Alligator mississippiensis: one gene and its partner. The protein of the gene in region 2 purifies or fractionates together with the protein of the main gene of each other region. This does not show direct contact. Links are inferred from orthologs where the notes say so. Each region holds a gene or a part of one and is shown on either strand. Other genes may lie near its edges. The genes, in order: CLK2 and PNN.

What was found.
Region 1: the proteins of PNN (region 2) and CLK2 purify together in Homo sapiens (affinity purification with mass spectrometry; 3 studies listed by BioGRID and IntAct, counting the BioPlex papers as one, with this or other methods). This does not show direct contact. The link is inferred for Alligator mississippiensis from reciprocal best matches to the Homo sapiens genes PNN and CLK2.

What each region holds. Positions count from the first base shown.
Region 1 is NC_081838.1:12,591,443-12,600,029, reverse strand, and holds the start of CLK2 (dual specificity protein kinase CLK2), read right to left. Parts: upstream 3,483-8,587; 5' UTR 3,357-3,482; intron 3,117-3,356; coding exon 2,947-3,116; intron 2,837-2,946; coding exon 2,602-2,836; intron 938-2,601; coding exon 841-937; intron 498-840; coding exon 431-497; intron 96-430; coding exon 1-95. Other genes in the region: HCN3 (potassium/sodium hyperpolarization-activated cyclic nucleotide-gated channel 3), read left to right, coding at 3,779-4,077, 6,373-6,802, 7,037-7,198, 7,681-7,899, 8,205-8,351, 8,465-8,587. UniProt on the Homo sapiens protein: Dual specificity kinase acting on both serine/threonine and tyrosine-containing substrates. Phosphorylates serine- and arginine-rich (SR) proteins of the spliceosomal complex.
Region 2 is NC_081825.1:260,160,479-260,168,676, reverse strand, and holds the start of PNN (pinin), read right to left. Parts: upstream 3,264-8,198; 5' UTR 3,165-3,263; coding exon 3,052-3,164; intron 2,827-3,051; coding exon 2,755-2,826; intron 1,036-2,754; coding exon 967-1,035; intron 1-966. UniProt on the Homo sapiens protein: Transcriptional activator binding to the E-box 1 core sequence of the E-cadherin promoter gene; the core-binding sequence is 5'CAGGTG-3'. Capable of reversing CTBP1-mediated transcription repression.

The DNA of each region.
Region 1 (8,587 bases), on a different chromosome or scaffold from region 2:
CATTTATCTTCTCCAGCACGTTGATCTCCAGCCGCGCAGCCTCCTTGTACTTCTCCACGTTCTTTATGATTTTGAGTGCAACACGCGCACCACCCCTGGGGAGAGGCAGGAACAGGACTGTGAGCCTGAGGCCCGTGTGGCTCCAAGGGACATGGGCACCACAACCTCCACCCTTTCTGGGGCCACGTGGTAGAGCCCCAGTGACCCCCACCAGCTGAGACAGCAGATTTTACCCCCTGGTCCATCCCAGCCCATCCCACAGGGACCATGAACAGGACTGGATCAGATCAGTGCATGCTAAGTCCGAATAAGAAGGGACTCAATCACCCCGACACTCCAGCCTCCACACGAGCAAGGCTGCTGGACCCGTGCTCCCCCCCCAAGAAGGCAGCAGCCTGGCATGGTGTTGCCAGCTTGGTAGCACGCCTACCTCCGGTGATCCACGCACTGCACCACTCGGCCAAATGTACCTTCTCCTAGGGTGCTAATGATCTCATCTGAGAGGGAGGGAGAGAGAGAGAAAGGGCCATGAGGTGGAGAGCGGGACCTGGCTGTGGCACGTACACAAGGCAGAGAAGAATGCATTGCAACACCTAGCCTGCACGCTGGAGACCGGCAGGGCGGAAGGCCGAGACCGGCTGCACAAGGCAACTGCCCTACATCCCTGGCACTGCAGTAACAGTATAGAATATATATGTAGCTTTAATAAAAGGGGGTGGGGGGGAGAGAGGGCTTCTCTTTAATAAACAATGAAAATAAAATGAAACAAAGATAAGACAGATCTGCGACTGCGATGGGAGCTTAACTAGAGAGCTAAATTATGTTACGATTCGGCTGTACATCTTTCTTGTAGCCAGTCGCCGACGCGATAGATCAGATGCCCCTCGTCGTCGTCTTCCACACTCTTGGCCCTTCTGCTGCTCGGTCGACTCCGCTGCTGGCCCGGGCAGACAGGGAATTCATCATTCACCAGCCAATCAGATTTCAAACCAGCGCAGCAGCCGGCGTCACGCATTGGTTGGTTTGGAAATTCACATGGTTGTTTGAGGAGGGGTTGCAGGAGATTCCCAGCCAATTCATACGGCACAGAGGAATATATAACGATAGGGATATTGCAAGGGAACATGTCAAGATACAACACACTAGCTCAGAAAAGAAAAAAAACAGTTTGCTTTTTGTTGTAGCAAAAAAAAAAAAAAAAAAAAAAGATAAAAAAAAGAAAAAAAAGAAAAGAAAAAAAAATCCTACAAAACAGCCCCACCCGAACCAGCGCCAGAGCCAAGACGAGTGGGGGGGAAAGGGGGGACCCGGAGGGAGCCGGCTGCTCTTGCTCTTCCGGGGCTTTGGAGAGAAACGGTGCTGACATTCGGGTCCGCATTAAAGCCAGGAGAGCACACCGAGACACGGCTCTGCAGCCGAGGCTCAGTGGCTGTAGTGAGGGGCTTGCATCCTTGCATCAGCTGCCATGGAAGGGCAGCTGCAGGCGGCGCACTGCAAAATCCTTCAAAACAAAGGGCCAGGCCGCCCCCACACGGCCCCCTCCCCATTCCAACAGCCCAAGCCATGGCTTTCCCCCAATGCCATAGAGAAGGAAGAGCTAGGAGGCTTCAGAAGCAAGTGTCTGCACAACATTTCATCCAGAACCGGACGGACCTCACTAGTAACTGCCCCAAGGCCAATTGGATACCTCCAAGTCCACCCTCCACCCCCTCAAAGAAGCTGGTTCTGGAGACTAGCTCCCCGAGAGATGGGGAATGGGGAAGAGGAAAAGCCTAAGATAAGTCAGACAAGAGATTGCACCAAAAAAGAAAGAGTTCCTGCCACGGTTCTTCAGCTAGGAAACCCCACACTTCAGAGGGACCAGCCAGAAGCTCAGGGACTCAACCCCCACCCTGAATACAAAGCCCTTGACCTGGAGCAGCCCCAAGGCACAGCCAGGCCACAGCGGGCATTGGTGAGAGCCCCAGGTGCAGAGATCATGTGTCTTGGCCCTAACGGATGTGGAAGGCAAGTGGCAGAACAGACAAGAAAAGAAAGCCAAGACACTACACTGGGAAGAGCCTGCATGGCCATCTTCATCTGAATGACTGCTCCACAGGCCGATACACTCGACCAGAGCCCCCCTGCATAGCAGGGGCTGGAGCCAGGCACTGCGCCTCCAACTCAGACACAGAGGGCTGGGCCTCCTGCCACAGACCGCCCCGAAGGAGAAGCACAGCCGTGGCCTGCCAGAGGCCAGGCTCGTGGCCACAACCGGACTGAGCTCTCTGCAGCAAGGAAGGCAGAGCCTCGAGCGGGAGACCCTACGGTACCATAACACCAACATCAGCGCACAACAGCAGCAGGGATACAGGCTGGGGGCTGCAGCCCCTGTGGACAGCGGTTACCCCCGACAGACCTTAGGACCTGCCTGCGCCCTCCAGGGACCGGGCAGCCACGGCTCTGGCATGTCGCGGGGCGGCCAGGAGCTGCTGCCCGCACCAAGGTTATTTAGTCATTTCAAGCGCACTCAGAAACCACGTAAGGAAGGAAGCTTGCTACTTACCCAGCTCGCCACCTGGGAGAGAAAGGTTAAGGGGCAGCGTGCAGTCGGGTACTCACCGATGAAGAGCGGCTAAAGGACCGGCTGCGGCGCCGTCTCCGCCTGTGCTTACGCCGGCTGCTCTTGCAGCTGCGGTAGCTGCCCTCGCGGTCCCGGGAGCGCCGGTACTCATAGGAGTGGCGGTACTCAGCGTCGTAGTAGGCTTCCCCGCGCTCGCGGCTGTAGTCGTTGCGCCGGTAGCTGTCGCAGTAGCGCCGGTCGTAGGCTCGCCGGTCCACCGAGTGGTCTTCGTAACTAGGGCGGGAGGAGAGTGGCTGGGACCTGGCCCACAAGGGCAGCCCCGGGGGGCAAGGACGGGGGCAGCTCCGTGCAGGGACCCCGCGGTGGCTGTGGTGGGCACTCACCTCCGGGAGCGCACGTGGTAGCTGTCCTCCCGCCGGTGCCGCCGGTCCCGCTCGCTGCTGCTGGAGCGGGACCGCGAGCGCCGCCGCTTGTGCTTGCGGCTGCGGTAGCGCTCGCGGTAGCTGCCGCGGCTGCTGCGCTCCGACGAGCGGTACCTCCGCGAGTGAGGCATCTGCGGGGGGCGGCGGCGGCGTCAGTGCCGGGCCCGGGCGGAGCCACCCCGCGCCCAGGCCGGGCCACGGCGGCACCAGGGCCGGGTCCGCCCCGGTTCGCTGCTCCTCCCCGCCCCGCCCCGGGCCCCTGCGGCGGGGCCGCCCCGCGCCCGAGGACCGGACCGCGCCCCGCCCCACCCCACCCCACCCGGCCCAGCCCGGCCCGGCCCGGCCCGGCCCAGCCCCGCCCCGCCGCGCACCGTCCTGGCAGCCAGCCCGGTGCGCTTGTCCCACAGGAAATCCGTGGCGGCGGCGGGCGCGCGCGCACGCGCGCGGGCGGGCGGGGCGGGGCCGCGCTCCCTCCGCGCCGCTGCTCCGCGCCGCGCCGCTCGGGCCAGGCCGCGCTCCCCCGCCTCCGCCGCGGCGGCGCCGCGCGCACACCGCGTCACACGCCAGGCGTCGGACGTGCGCGCCGCGTCACACAGCCCCGGCCCCGCCCCTCCGTCGCGTCACCCGGGGAGCCCCGCCCCCGCGGCCCCGCCCCCGCCCGCTGACGTCCCGGCAGCCCCGGCCGCCCGCGCTGCCCTTGGCCCGCCCCGCCCCGTCCCGCCCCGCGCCGGCCGCCGCGGCCATGAGCCCCGGGGCGCGGGGCGGGCGCCCGGCCCAGCCCGTCTGACGAAGCATGGAGGCGGCGCCGGGCCCGGGGCCGCCGCCGGACGGGGAGGCCGCGGGGCGCCCGCGCGACGGCCCCGAGCACATGGCGGCGGGCGCCGAGGAGCCGGCGGGGCCGGGGCCGGGGCCGGGGCCGGGGCCGGGGCCGGGGCCGGGGGCCGGGGCGCGGCGGCAGCTCGGGGCCCTGCTGCAGCCGGCCGTCAACAAGTTCTCGCTGCGCATGTTCGGCAGCCACAAGGCGGTGGAGATCGAGCAGCGCCGCGTGCAGTCGGCCGGGCCCTGGATCATCCACCCCTACAGCGACTTCAGGTCAGCGCCGCTGTCCATGGTGCTGAGCAGCCCGCGCCGCGCCGCGCCGCGCCGGCCCGTGTGGGGCGGGAGAGCCGAGGGTGCTGGGGGTCTCCATCTCCGGACCTAGGCAGGAGCTGCCCCAAATCCAAGGGGATTCAGCGCTGCTCCGGCTCCGGGAGAGGGTGGCACCTGCGCGGGCTGGGAGGGCCCCGTGTTTCCCGGGGCCGGCGGGGGGACAGGGTGTCGTGCCAGGTGGGAGGACACAGACGTGCGTGGGGGGAGGAGGGGGGAGGCACAGGCGACGGGCATTCACCACAGAGCCTGCGCCTGCCCCTTGTGCCCCTTCCCAGACAGCCACGAGCCTGGGCACCTGCTGCCGGCGCCTCCCTCTCCCAATGCTGCCCCGGCCCTTAATCCCACTGCAGCGGCGGCCTCAGCGCACCCCATCCCTGCTCACACCCGCTCGTAACGTGCCAGACAAGCTAAGCTGCGGTTATCTCCGAGGTGATCTCCCCCGGCAGGGTGAAGGTGACCCAGTGACACAGGGTGGGGGGTGGGGGGATTATGCATTACGGCGGCACCACAAGCCCCGGCTGAGAGCAGGGCCCTGCGCTGGGTGGCGCGTGCAGAAACAGGCAGCCAGCCCCAAAGTGCTTGCAGCCTCCATCAGACACGAGCCCTGGGGACTGGGGCAGGAGGGACCAGCCAGTGCTGCTGGGGGCGGCTGAGCTGTGACTGGGGCCAGTGCCCATCAGGGCTGCATGTGGGTGTAGGTGGCATTAACTTCTCCTGCCAGACTCCTGAGCAGTCATGTCCTCCGACGGGCGGTGAGCAATCAGTAGGAAGCCCCTTGTCTGGCTGGTGAGGCCCCAGGCTGGGAGAGGTTACGCAGTCCTGTGGCACAGACCCGAGGCAGCCATGGCTAATCCTCCTTGCTGCTGCCATGGAGACTCGGGGCCTCGCCCACGCCAGCTCCCCAGCGGCTTGAGCTCCCTGTCCCTGTGCAGGGCTCCACGGGGCAGGGGCAGAGATGTCCTCCACGTGGCATCAGCATTTCCTACTTTCCCCTTTGCCACCGCACTGTCTACAGCGTTCCCGGTGCCTTGCGGTTCACCACTGACTAGGTGGCCCCGTCCCTTCATGGGCTTGGGGCCTCTGTGAGAGGCTCCAGGTTACAGAGAGGAAGACAGAGGAGTGAAGAGCAAGGGGTAGGGCCCTGGCTCTAAAGTGCTGGACTGTGCCCCCTGGCTACATTTGGGACCAAGTGACAATGTCCAGGTCGGACCCTGACTCACATCTACCGCTTTCTGCATGTAGAGACCAGGCTGGGTCTGGGGGGTAGAGAGCATGGGAGTGGGCAGGTTTTAGATATCCAGGAAAGGGGCTGTATGGGTGTCCCAAGGTCCTGGCTCGCGCGTGCATGAAGCTGGGACACTGTGTGTGTGACTGCACATGAGGGCATCTGGCTGTGCTCTGCCCAGCTGCAGAGCAGTTACCCTGTGCACCTTGGCCTGGCTGGTGCTTAGGATCATAGGAGCGAGGGCTAGAAAGGACCTTGGGAGTCATAGAGTCCAGCCCCTACTCACAGCAGGACAAGCCCCAACTAGATCATCCCAGCCAGGGCATGTTGGGATGTGTCTGTGCCTCTGGGACACTTGTCTGGGCTGAGGGCCTGATCCAGAGGGAATCCAAGCCCAGGGCCCCTGGGCCAGCTTCACCTGCATGGGGCTTGCAGGGAGCGGCTTCCTCAGGCCTTCTGCTCATTGGTTTGAGCAGAGGCCCAGCTAGTAGGGCATCCATGTGGCCTGGTCTTCATTGTCCGCACGCTGCCGTAGCTCCGAGCCATGACTAGGCACAGCACATTTGCCTAGTAGCTGCAAGAAAGGCAGGTGCTGATTCTGAGCCTGCAGTAGTTTGCTCTGGCAGGGGTCAGGGGAGGACAAGGGAGGTGATGATCGGGGGCTGGGGTTCAGGGTTGTAGATGTGATGGGGAAGGCCTTGGCAAGGCCCCTGGCAGAGACTGGACCTGTGGGGAAGGGGCCAGCCCGGGCTGCACAGCAGGACAACGGCAGGTTGGGATGGAGCCGAGAAGTTGAGGCCTGGCTGGGGCTTTGCCCATGATGTCAGGTGGTGTGGGGAGAGGCCAGGCTGGAGCTCCCCGAGACACCCAGACAGCACCTGTCTGCAGCCACCTCCCCCAGGCACCCTGGATGCGTGGCAGAAGCCACATCTCTGTGCTGTCCCCTGAGGCTCCAGCCGCTCTGAGGATATTTCCCTTCTCTCCCCACTGCTCTGCGCCCCCCCCCCCAACAGGTTCTACTGGGACCTCATTATGCTCCTGCTGATGGTGGGGAACCTGATCATCCTGCCCGTAGGCATCACCTTCTTCAAGGACGAGAACACGCCGCCCTGGATCGTCTTCAATGTGCTCTCCGACACCTTCTTCCTGGCCGACCTGGTACTAAACTTCCGCACAGGCATCGTAGTGGAGGACAACACAGAGATCATCCTGGACCCCCACACCATCAAAACAAAGTACCTTAAGAGCTGGTTCCTGGTTGATTTCATCTCCTCCATCCCTGTTGACTACATCTTCCTCATCGTCGACCTGGAGACTCAGGTGGACTCAGACGTCTACAAGACAGCGCGGGCTCTGCGCATAGTGCGCTTCACCAAGATCCTCAGCCTGCTGCGCCTACTGCGCCTCTCTCGCCTCATCCGCTACATCCACCAGTGGGAGGAGGTGGGTGGCCAGGAGCCAGCCGGAGGGGCTGAGGGGCATCCTAGGGGCTCGTGCCTGGGGAAGGTGGAGGGTGAGTGGGGCCCCCTGGCCAGGAGTTCAGGTGCCGCTGGTTGCAAGGTGAGGAGCTCACCAGGGACCTGGTGCCTGAAGATGGGGGAGCTCTTCCCTTCCCCATGGATGCCCTGGGGAGCAGTGGTTCCTTACTGTCTTGCTCCCGGCTTCCCCTATGCCCAGATTTTCCACATGACCTATGACCTGGCCAGCGCTGTGGTGCGGATCTTCAACCTAATTGGCATGATGCTACTGCTATGCCACTGGGACGGCTGCCTCCAGTTCCTGGTGCCCATGCTGCAGGACTTCCCTGAGGACTGCTGGGTCTCCATCAATCACATGGTGGTGAGTGCCATGCTTCCCCACTCCTGGAGCCCAGCCCCAGGCCTCCGCAGCTGCCAGCAGGAGCTCCCACTTGGGTGAGGTTGCACGTGGTCCAGGGCGGGAGACTCCCCACCCACCCCAGTCTAAAGCATCTGCTCATGCACACACTCTTGCTTGCATCCTGGCACGTGCACACGTGCTCACTCTTACACATGTGCCCTAAGCTCCTGAGCCAGGAGCTTGCAGAGGTCCTGCAGGCTGCTGCGACCCTGGGGCACCAGTCAGGTGGGAGGGAGTGAGGGAGATCACGGCTCACTTCTGCAGCCAGCAGGGCAGATCTATCCCACCAGGTGCTAAGGGAGAGCAGGGAGGGGGCTCCTGCTGCTTCCATGGGGGCCCAGCCCAGAAGGTGTGGCCCTGGGAGGTGGGTGATCCTGGGTTTTCAGGCAGCGGGGGCTGCTGGGGCACAGCTCCATCCCCCTTTCCATACCTCCTGTCTCCAGAATGACTCATGGGGGAAACAGTACTCGCACGCCCTGTTCAAGGCCATGAGCCACATGCTGTGCATTGGCTATGGGCAGCAGGCCCCAGAGGGCATGACCGACGTCTGGCTCACTATGCTTAGCATGATCGTGGGCGCCACCTGCTACGCTATGTTCATTGGCCATGCCACCGCCCTCATCCAGTCACTGGACTCATCCCGTCGACAGTACCAGGAGAAGGTGCGTGGGGGAGGCAGGAGATGTGCCTGGGGCTGCCGGGAGGGATCTGGGGTATGAGTCCAGAACAAATTGACCTGGTGCCCACAGCTGCTCGACATGGGAGTTGGCCATGCTCCTAGCTCCTGCCCTCAGGCCCTGGTACTTGGGGAGGGCTGCAGGTGGGACCATGAGCTGACAGTGCCCCTCCACCCTCATGGAGCCAAAGGCCCTGGAGTGTGGTTACTGCCCTCTCCATAGGGGTTCTGCTACAGAAGAGGGTTTCCAGCTCCCCCTGTGAGCTTGTGTCCGTCTGTCTGTCCCTCCAGTACAAGCAGGTGGAGCAGTACATGTCGTTCCACAAGCTGCCTGGTGACATGCGCCAACGCATCCATGAGTACTATGAGCACCGCTACCAGGGCAAGATGTTCGACGAGGAGAACATCCTAGGGGAGCTGAGCGAGCCACTCAAGGAGGTAGGGAGGGGCTGTTCTCCCAGGGTTGGGCAGGGGCGACTGTCGTGGGAACTACCCCCGGGGAGACATTCTGCCCTGGATCCCATGACACCGCAGCCTCACTGCTCCCACAGGAAATCATCAACTTCAACTGCCGGAACCTGGTGGCCAATATGCCGCTGTTCGCGAACGCCGACCCCAACTTCGTGACGGCCATGCTAACCAAGCTGCGCTTTGAGGTCTTCCAGCCTGCTGAC
Region 2 (8,198 bases):
TTCACTTGATCCAGCCTAAAGTATCAGCTCTACATACTCCTAAAGCAGGTGATGTACAGAAGCTACTTAAAAATAAAAACACATATTAACTTAATCTTGTTTTACTGAAAGAGTATTTAGCTCTGTATTAATGGTAAAAGATTTAACTCCTCTTAAACTGCACACTGAGTGAGGCATATCTTAAATCTTATCTGAGCCTGCTGTGAAATCAACATTTGATAAAAAGACCTGCTTCTACAGAATATATTTAAATGTGACATGTTTCATATAAATTTTCATTTGTCAATAAAACGGGTAAGGTTTCAAGAAGATAAAGTCCATACCAAGGGCCAAATACTGGCCAGCAAGCCCCATGCACTCCCAACATTCCCAACCCCTCTAATCTTGTGGCGATGATGATAAGACACTTAAATACGGCAACTCAGAAATAGAGCTTTAAATCAATGTCTTTAAAAGGCTGAATAAAAATCAGTTACACATTCCTTTAATTGTTTTATTAAAGGTGACGTGCAAAAAAAATAAAAAAAAAAAAATAAAGAGAATTGTAGGACTATATAATCTACATAGCTAAATGCTTCCATTAACATTAGAATAAATATATACACCCAATTTTACCCCCCCCATCAGAATTATGAATAGTGTAAATTCAAGACTGATAATCCAGAAAAAATGCAATTTCTTTTTCATGGGAGGCCCTATGCATTGTATATTTTCCAGAGAAGAACAAATAAACCAGGATTTCATGACTGCTGAGACAGTCATATTGCTGTTGGTCTGATACTGGTCCTGTAAAATCATCACCATCAAAAGTTAGATTTGGAACATCCAATCTTGAAGAAGTTTATCAATCTGGGATTATTTCACAAACTATTACCGATTCTGAGCATTAGATTTATTAAATCATAACAGCCATTTACCCTAGTGTAGTCTCTACAGGTACTTTTTTTTTTTTCTTTTTTTACCTACCTACTGGTTGCCCCTTCAAGATCCCTCTGTTTGGCTGGGGGTCCTCCTCCGCTATCCGAGAATCCACGCCTAAAAAGAGACAGCTAAAGATGATGTCCAAGAACAGGTCAGGAATCCCAAATTCAGGAGTTCCTAACCCCAAGTCTGCTTCTGGTTTACTGTTTTGTAGGCAAGTCTGTTTCTGTTCAGAGATGGTAAAGGTAATAGTTTTTTAAGGCAGCAGCAAGAATACAGCATTTTACAAAGACCAACAAAATGGCCCATATTCTTGCTCTATGGAGCAAATAATTTCAAGTCAAATCCTGCAAACACTGATTCACATGAACAGCAATACTAACTTAAATAGTGTCATCCCCACTCCCCCTCATCAACTTCAGTAAGGCTACTCATGCAAACAGAGTTACTCAGGTTATAAGTGTGGACAGTTTAAGAATGCTGTATTAGTATTAAGTTTTCACCAAAAATAACAGTTAAAAGAGCCTGTAAGTCTACCTATTCAGTACCAGAGAAAATACATTTTAAAATGGAGCAATATTAGGAAATAACTCTTCCAACTTCTAATTTTAAAGAGAGAAACAAAAAACATTCCACTTCTTGCCACCAGACCTGTTTCATTCAAAGTTATATATTATGATCGTTAGCAGTTTTAAAACTTCTATCCCTTGGCTTCAACAAAGTCTTTTGCTAAAGTAATACCTCTTTTCTGACACTGCCAAGTTTTGCTTTTGAACCATATCTAAAAGTTAAGCTTACAGACACAACAGCACAATTTAAGGGCCTTGTTACATATTACACTGTAAGCTTCACAAATGTTAATGGACGTTAGTACTGGCTCAAGTTTGGAGGAGTCACATGCCAGGCCAGCAGGAGCCTGGAGAACTGAAAGGAAGAATCCTGCCCCCCTCCATTACAGGCTTCCCCTCTGCCCCATAAGTTCCACCCCCTTCCATTTCTGGCTGTCTGCACTGACTGTCTTGGAGGAGCAGGCAGGGAAGGGTTAACCCATTTACCCCCACCCCCTTCTCCAGGCTGAGCCTGCCTAGACTGCAGCAACACTTAATGCTTCCCTTTCTGCTCCCCTGGGAGTGTGTGTGTGTGTGTGTGTGTGGGGGGGGGGGGGGGGGGGGTGAAGAAGAGACAGGATTTTTTTTAGACAAAAGTATAGCCTAGAGTAGCTAGCTACACAATAGTGCAACACCAGCAGGGTACCACAGATCAGAAATAATCCTGCCCTGGGGTGGTGTAAGTTTGAGAGGCATACCAAGTGGTCAAAACTAGTTTTAGGTGTTAACGTGTAGAAAATCCAGGGGTTAAGAGCTCCAGCAGTCACCTGTGTAACAGAGCTCTGGCTCTCTTAGCCCCACATCCCATCTAGGCACTAGACAGGACCCCATACAATAGCACCCAAGTGCCTTACCCAGCAATTTGCAATCAGGGGGCTGCAAAGCATCAGCATTGGCAGAAATGCATACATCCGGCACAATCCCCGAGATGGCAAATGAGAATGGCCAGAGTCCAGAGCACGGGATCCCTGCTGGGGCCTCCCCAAGGTCTCTGCTACAGGAGACTGCTCCGCTATTTAATTTCACAGACAAAAACGAGGGCAAGAGAAGAGCTGCTGAGCCGCTGCCCGAGGGGGAAGCGGGAGTCTGAGACATGCGGCTCCAGCCCTTTCAAGCAAGGAGCCTGTGGCGGCTCTGCAAGCAGTACCCAGCAGCAGGGCCCCAAAGGGGAGAAACCCAAGAGAAGCAGCAAGGACAGAAACATGTGGGGGTCGCCGGTCCTTACCTCAGCAGTAAGCTACCGCGGCCTCTACCTCCACCAGGGCCTGCGATGGGTAACAGCCTGCTCTGAGGGGGCCTGCAAGAAACGGAGCGCGCGTTAGGAAGGCTGCGAGCCGCCCAGGGGGCTCCGAGACCGCCCCGGAGCGCCGCACAGGCGGGCCAGGGCCACCCAGCGCGCCGGGCGAGAGGGAAGGCACCCACGCCCTCGATCAGGACCCCTCCTCCCCCCGCCGGGAGCAGCGGAGCAGCCCGGGGGAGGCTCCGCGGGGCCCAGGCGCGAAGCGGACACGCTCGGCCGCACCTGACATCGTTGGGGTCCCGGCCCGTGAGCTTGCGGATGTTCTCATCCACGTGCTTGAGGCTTTCCTTGGCCTTCTCCAGCTGCTCCTGCAGCGCGCGCACCGCCACCGCCATCCCGCCCGCAGCGTGGCCTAACTGCGGCCTAGCGCAAAGCACCGCTGGGTAACGGGGAGCGAGACGTGCCGCCCGCCCGCGCCCCGCCAATCAGAGAGCCAGACACGATCCGTCAGTAGCCAATTCCGAGCCGCCTCCTCGCGCCAATGCCCCTGCCCTGAGTCGAAGGACGTTCTCTGCACCCAATTACCGCCTAACCAGCTAACCAATTACAGAGCCGCACATCTGAGTGACATGTCCCACACCCAACCAGCCAGGGCCCTCCCCTGCTACCTCCAGAAATCCCTAAACGGGCAAGCAGAACGGCGTTGCCTTTTAACCAATCACCGCCGCTCCGTTTCTTCGTATCAACCAATCAGAGTCAGGATGAAGATTGACACTTCCCCAAACCGCCCCCCCGATAGCGCCCACAGCCCCTCCTCCCATCCAGCGGAAAGCGAGGGATGGGACTTGAAAGAGGAGGGGGTGGGTCCCAGGCAGCGACTAATCAGATTGTCAGATGCTCCATGCCCCGCCGACAAACGAGCCAATGGCAAGGCGCTTTATTGATAATGCTGCGACTCAAGGGCTTGCGCCAGTCATCTCAGCGGTCGCGGGTTTAGTTGCTCCCGCGCGGCCTGAGTGGGTTACGTGTCTGATACCACTGCCGCGGCCTACTGCCGGCCTGCTACACAGCGCCGCCGTCCCTGAGCCGGGTCCCTTACTAGGACCTCGTGCCGCAGCCCTGGCATTTCTCGGGGGAGCCGGTGCAGCGAAATCCGGCTCTACGCCCGCGGGGCGACGACACACGGCCTCGGCCCGGGCTCGCTGACCTCGGTCTCCGCTCTGCGCAGAGGGGTAGCAAGCTACTAGGCCGGCGGTGCAGCCCCTGTCGCGTGTTGCCGGCACTGCTGGGTGCAGACGAGGTTCACAGGATAAACCCCGAAATTTCAAATGCGAATCCTTAGCGCGGAAACCATTCTGCCCTGCGTTGGGATCTGTGCAGCTGGCCTGCTGTACCCGCCTGCTATAGTAAAAACTGAAGTCTGAATTAGGAGCTGGTACTGCGGGGGCGGGGGGCCCTGCAGCTGTGGGAGGGGTAGGGGACGGCTCCCTCTCTGCTGGGTCAGGACCAAATCGATTTATATCCTGACTTGCATCACGATTTAACTCGCTGGTTATTTTAGTTACCAAAGTTAACTGAGGCAGATACATGTGAAGTCACTGGGAAGTGAACTATCCAATTCAATAGGTTAATCATGGATATTTGGGGGATATTTTTGCCATGCTGTATTAGGAAGACAATAACCAAAAACAACAGACTTTTAAATTGTTTTATTAACTAGAACAATAAGGTTATGTATTTTGGATAGTTTTCAACAACAGATATGTATAATTATTTTAACAAAAGGATGCATATTTTTGAATTTTTAACTAGTTTAGTTATAAATGTGAAATGTGTTTTTAACAAAAATTTAAAAGATTATTTTAGCCAGGTCAACATGAGATATGTAAAATATTGGGTTATGCAGCAAACTCAGTCTTCACCTTCCTCTTCCTGTTTATTCAAAGACTGGAAAAGAAAGACAAGCTTTCCTGCTTTTTCAGTTCCCAAATGATTTCTCAATTTAGAATGAACCAGTCCAAAGGAAGAAAATAGTCTTTCTATACCTGCAGAAGAAGAAGCTACTGCTGTTAAAAGCTGGATTATCACTTCAATAGTTTCTGGTGGATCTAGGTGCTTAAGTGACTTCCACCAGTTCACTGGTGTGACTTTCTTTAAAACTTCATCAGCAAACATATATTTCTTGAATGGTTCACCCACCCTTAGCTCTGAAATTCATTATGGTTGGTATTATGGAGGGATGATTGCTGGATGCCCATGTCATAGCCAAGTCCTCTTCAGCAGTTAAGGATTGACCCTGGTACTGAGTATTGAGAACATTGGCAAGAAAGTGAGCTGGAGATAGTGCTTGATCCATTCGTTGTTTTAATGCCTGTAATTTAACTCTGTCATTGCAGATTTCTCTCTTCAAGTTCTCACTCAGTTCCTTCCAAATTTCAACAGCATCAGCAATAAAACAGCGATTTCCCTTCACTTTGTTCAAGGCTACAGAAATAGGCTTCAGGATAGTCAGCACACGTTCCACATTTCTCTTTAGCCCAATGTCGAGAACTTTAGCTATGACAGTTCCATCTATTTTGTCATGATTTTGTTCACAAACTCATCAAGTTAGGCCAGTTCTCAATATATTGCTCAAAACAGTCCACTACTGAGTTCCATTTCTGGTCTTGTGGGAGAGTTAGTTTGGTGCCTCCTGCTTTCTTCAGAGCAGCTGCTGCAAAGTGGCTGTTAAGGAAGTATTTTGCAATTTCAGCAACATTAGCCTTTATTTCTGGAGCACTGAAGTCTTTGGCTAAGAGGTGCATCAAATGAGCGCTGCAGCTATATGTTATTAGCTTGGGGCTTTCCTTACTTTCTTCTAGATTTCTTCTCATCTTTGATATATTTGCAGCATTGTCTGTGACAAAGCTGCCTACTAGACATTTCAATGTTTTTTCACAGTTTGTTATAGCTTTTACTGTTACTTCTTGTAAGTATTCTGCTGTGTATGCATTTCCTGATGTATCAACCGTTTCTGTAAGGTAGACAGTCCCTTCTTCTGTGGTCACACAAGCACATATTACTGGATCATTGTGCACATTGCTCCACCCATCAAGACTCAGGTTAACAATTTTCCCCTCCAGACTTTTTGCACACTGTTCAATTTCTCTCTCATACACTTTATCCAGCAATTTGCCTACTATATCTGCTCTTTTGGGTGGACTGTATCCCGGTCGTAATAACTGAACCATGTCAATGAAGTGTGTGTTCTCAACTATACAGAAAGGCGCGTTTGTTGCATAAACAAACCGAGCAATTTTTTCATCAAGTACCTCATGCTGTAATCTGTTGGTTCTTATTCTAAATGTATCTATGGTGGTTTCTGGATTAAGGAGATTTTTTTCCTTTTTGCTACTGGTGATGTACTACGTGACATACATTTGACTGGAACACTGGTATCATTAATAGGTAACTCTGAAATTGTAGACAGTGATGATGTTGAAGATGGATAGTCAGAATCCTGTATGTTGAGGATGCATCCTCCTGAACAAAAGAAGTCAATGCAGTCACTACAGTACAACTCATTTAGTAGTACTCATTGTACTCAGTACTATTTTAGAAGTAAAACTGTAAAAGGAAGATCTGCCTATTTCAGCCATTATTTTAGATCACAACTGCACTAAAATATGGTAGTTCTATAAAGTAACTATATTTTTCTCAATTTTATGAGAATTCAAGTAGTCCTGAAGTCCTTCCACAAGCTATGAACAGGGGAGATGGGCAGTCCGTAAGACAGAAATATGAAATAAGAAAATTTACTAACCTGGAGATCCTCCATGTTCAGACATGTTCCATTCATCATCTTCAAAGCAGTTTTCTCCTGAGAAGGAGCACTTCTCAAGATGTTTCATTCGGGCAACCAGGCCTTGCATTTCTTTGTTACATTGTTTGCATTTTGCACGCATGCCTGTCTTCCCCAACGGTGGAGGAATTTTAATGAAATATTCCCAAACAGGGTCTTTTTTACGGCCTGGCAAGCCTGCTGCCATGATAGGTTTTCCCTTCTACCATACCAGTCCCTCACTAGATCTCAAATCAGTGGAGAGGCTATACTCAGAAGGATATTCCTCACAACTTCTGGAATCTTCTGCTCAAAATGTGCCTCTGTTGTTTCTACTTCCCCTCCCTCCTTGCATTTATTTCCAGACTCCTCCTTTCCCAGATCTACTCTACCTCCTATCCTCTATTCATTTAACTTCTTGAAACTTTGCACTTCTAGAGAGAGGTAAGGGCTTGACTCTATATACACACAAACTTAAAGAAACAATAGGGCTGATGGGCAGGCAATCAGGTCTTATCTCTCATCTCCAGATACTGCTGTTAACAAGGCTGTTATCTCTGGAAACAGAAGGGTGTTTGTGCCCAAAGCAGGGTAGATAAAAATCAATGATTAAGAAAAAATAAATTTAAAAATTGGATTTTTTTAAAATTTAAAAATTGGATTTTTTTAAAATCGTCAATAAAGTACTAAATTTCTATCTTGTTTAAAAAATAACAGTTACAGTTAAACCTCATCACAAATATGATAAACCTACACTTACAGTCTCATAAAAATGAATTAATGGCTCTGTCTCACACACAGACACTCACACATTGAGTTACCTATCAATCAAACATGGGCATTCATTTCAATTTTTCATCTCATGAAAATGGCTCTAGTCTGTCTGTCCAGCCCAACTACCAGCTCTTGCTTCTTGAAAGTTCTGGGCTTTCAGTTTCTGTTTCTCAGCAGACTAAAGTCACGTGCAGACAGGCTGGATAGGATTGTTGTTCTTATGTGGGGGTGGAGCTGGGCCAAGCAAGGCAGAGGAGTTAGTTAAGACTTTCTTAAAGACAGAAACAATATAGGAAAGGATGGAGGCAGAATAGAAAGGAACAGTGGACTGGAAAAAGGAAAGACATTATTCGGTAGTACACACACAGCTTCCTATATTCCCCCACACTTTTGCCAAAAAAACAAACAAACAAAAACACACAGTCACGGCTTCCGAGTGTAAAAGAGACCCTATCTGGGAATATTTTGAAGCAATTCCTTCCCTGGGTAAAAATGGAAAATGTGTCAAGTGTAAGAAATACAAGAAGGAGATTGCAAGGCCTTGTTGCAAGAAAGAAACATAATGAAAACTGCTTATTGGGAGAAAATGATGTGGATGAAGATGTGGATATGTCTGAAGAACAGTGTGGATCAGATTAAATAATTCACTTTGCAACGCACTGTTCTTCAAGACTCTTTCTATGCCTTTTAGTATAAGTGTGATTTAACAAATAAATTCCCAAGCTGTTTGCCATGTTGGATGGTGCTAGAAAAAAAGTTTAGCCAATTCTTATGGCTTGTTTAGTTAACTAGGTTTAGACTCTACCACCCAAGTTTACAGTACAGAAAGCTGCAG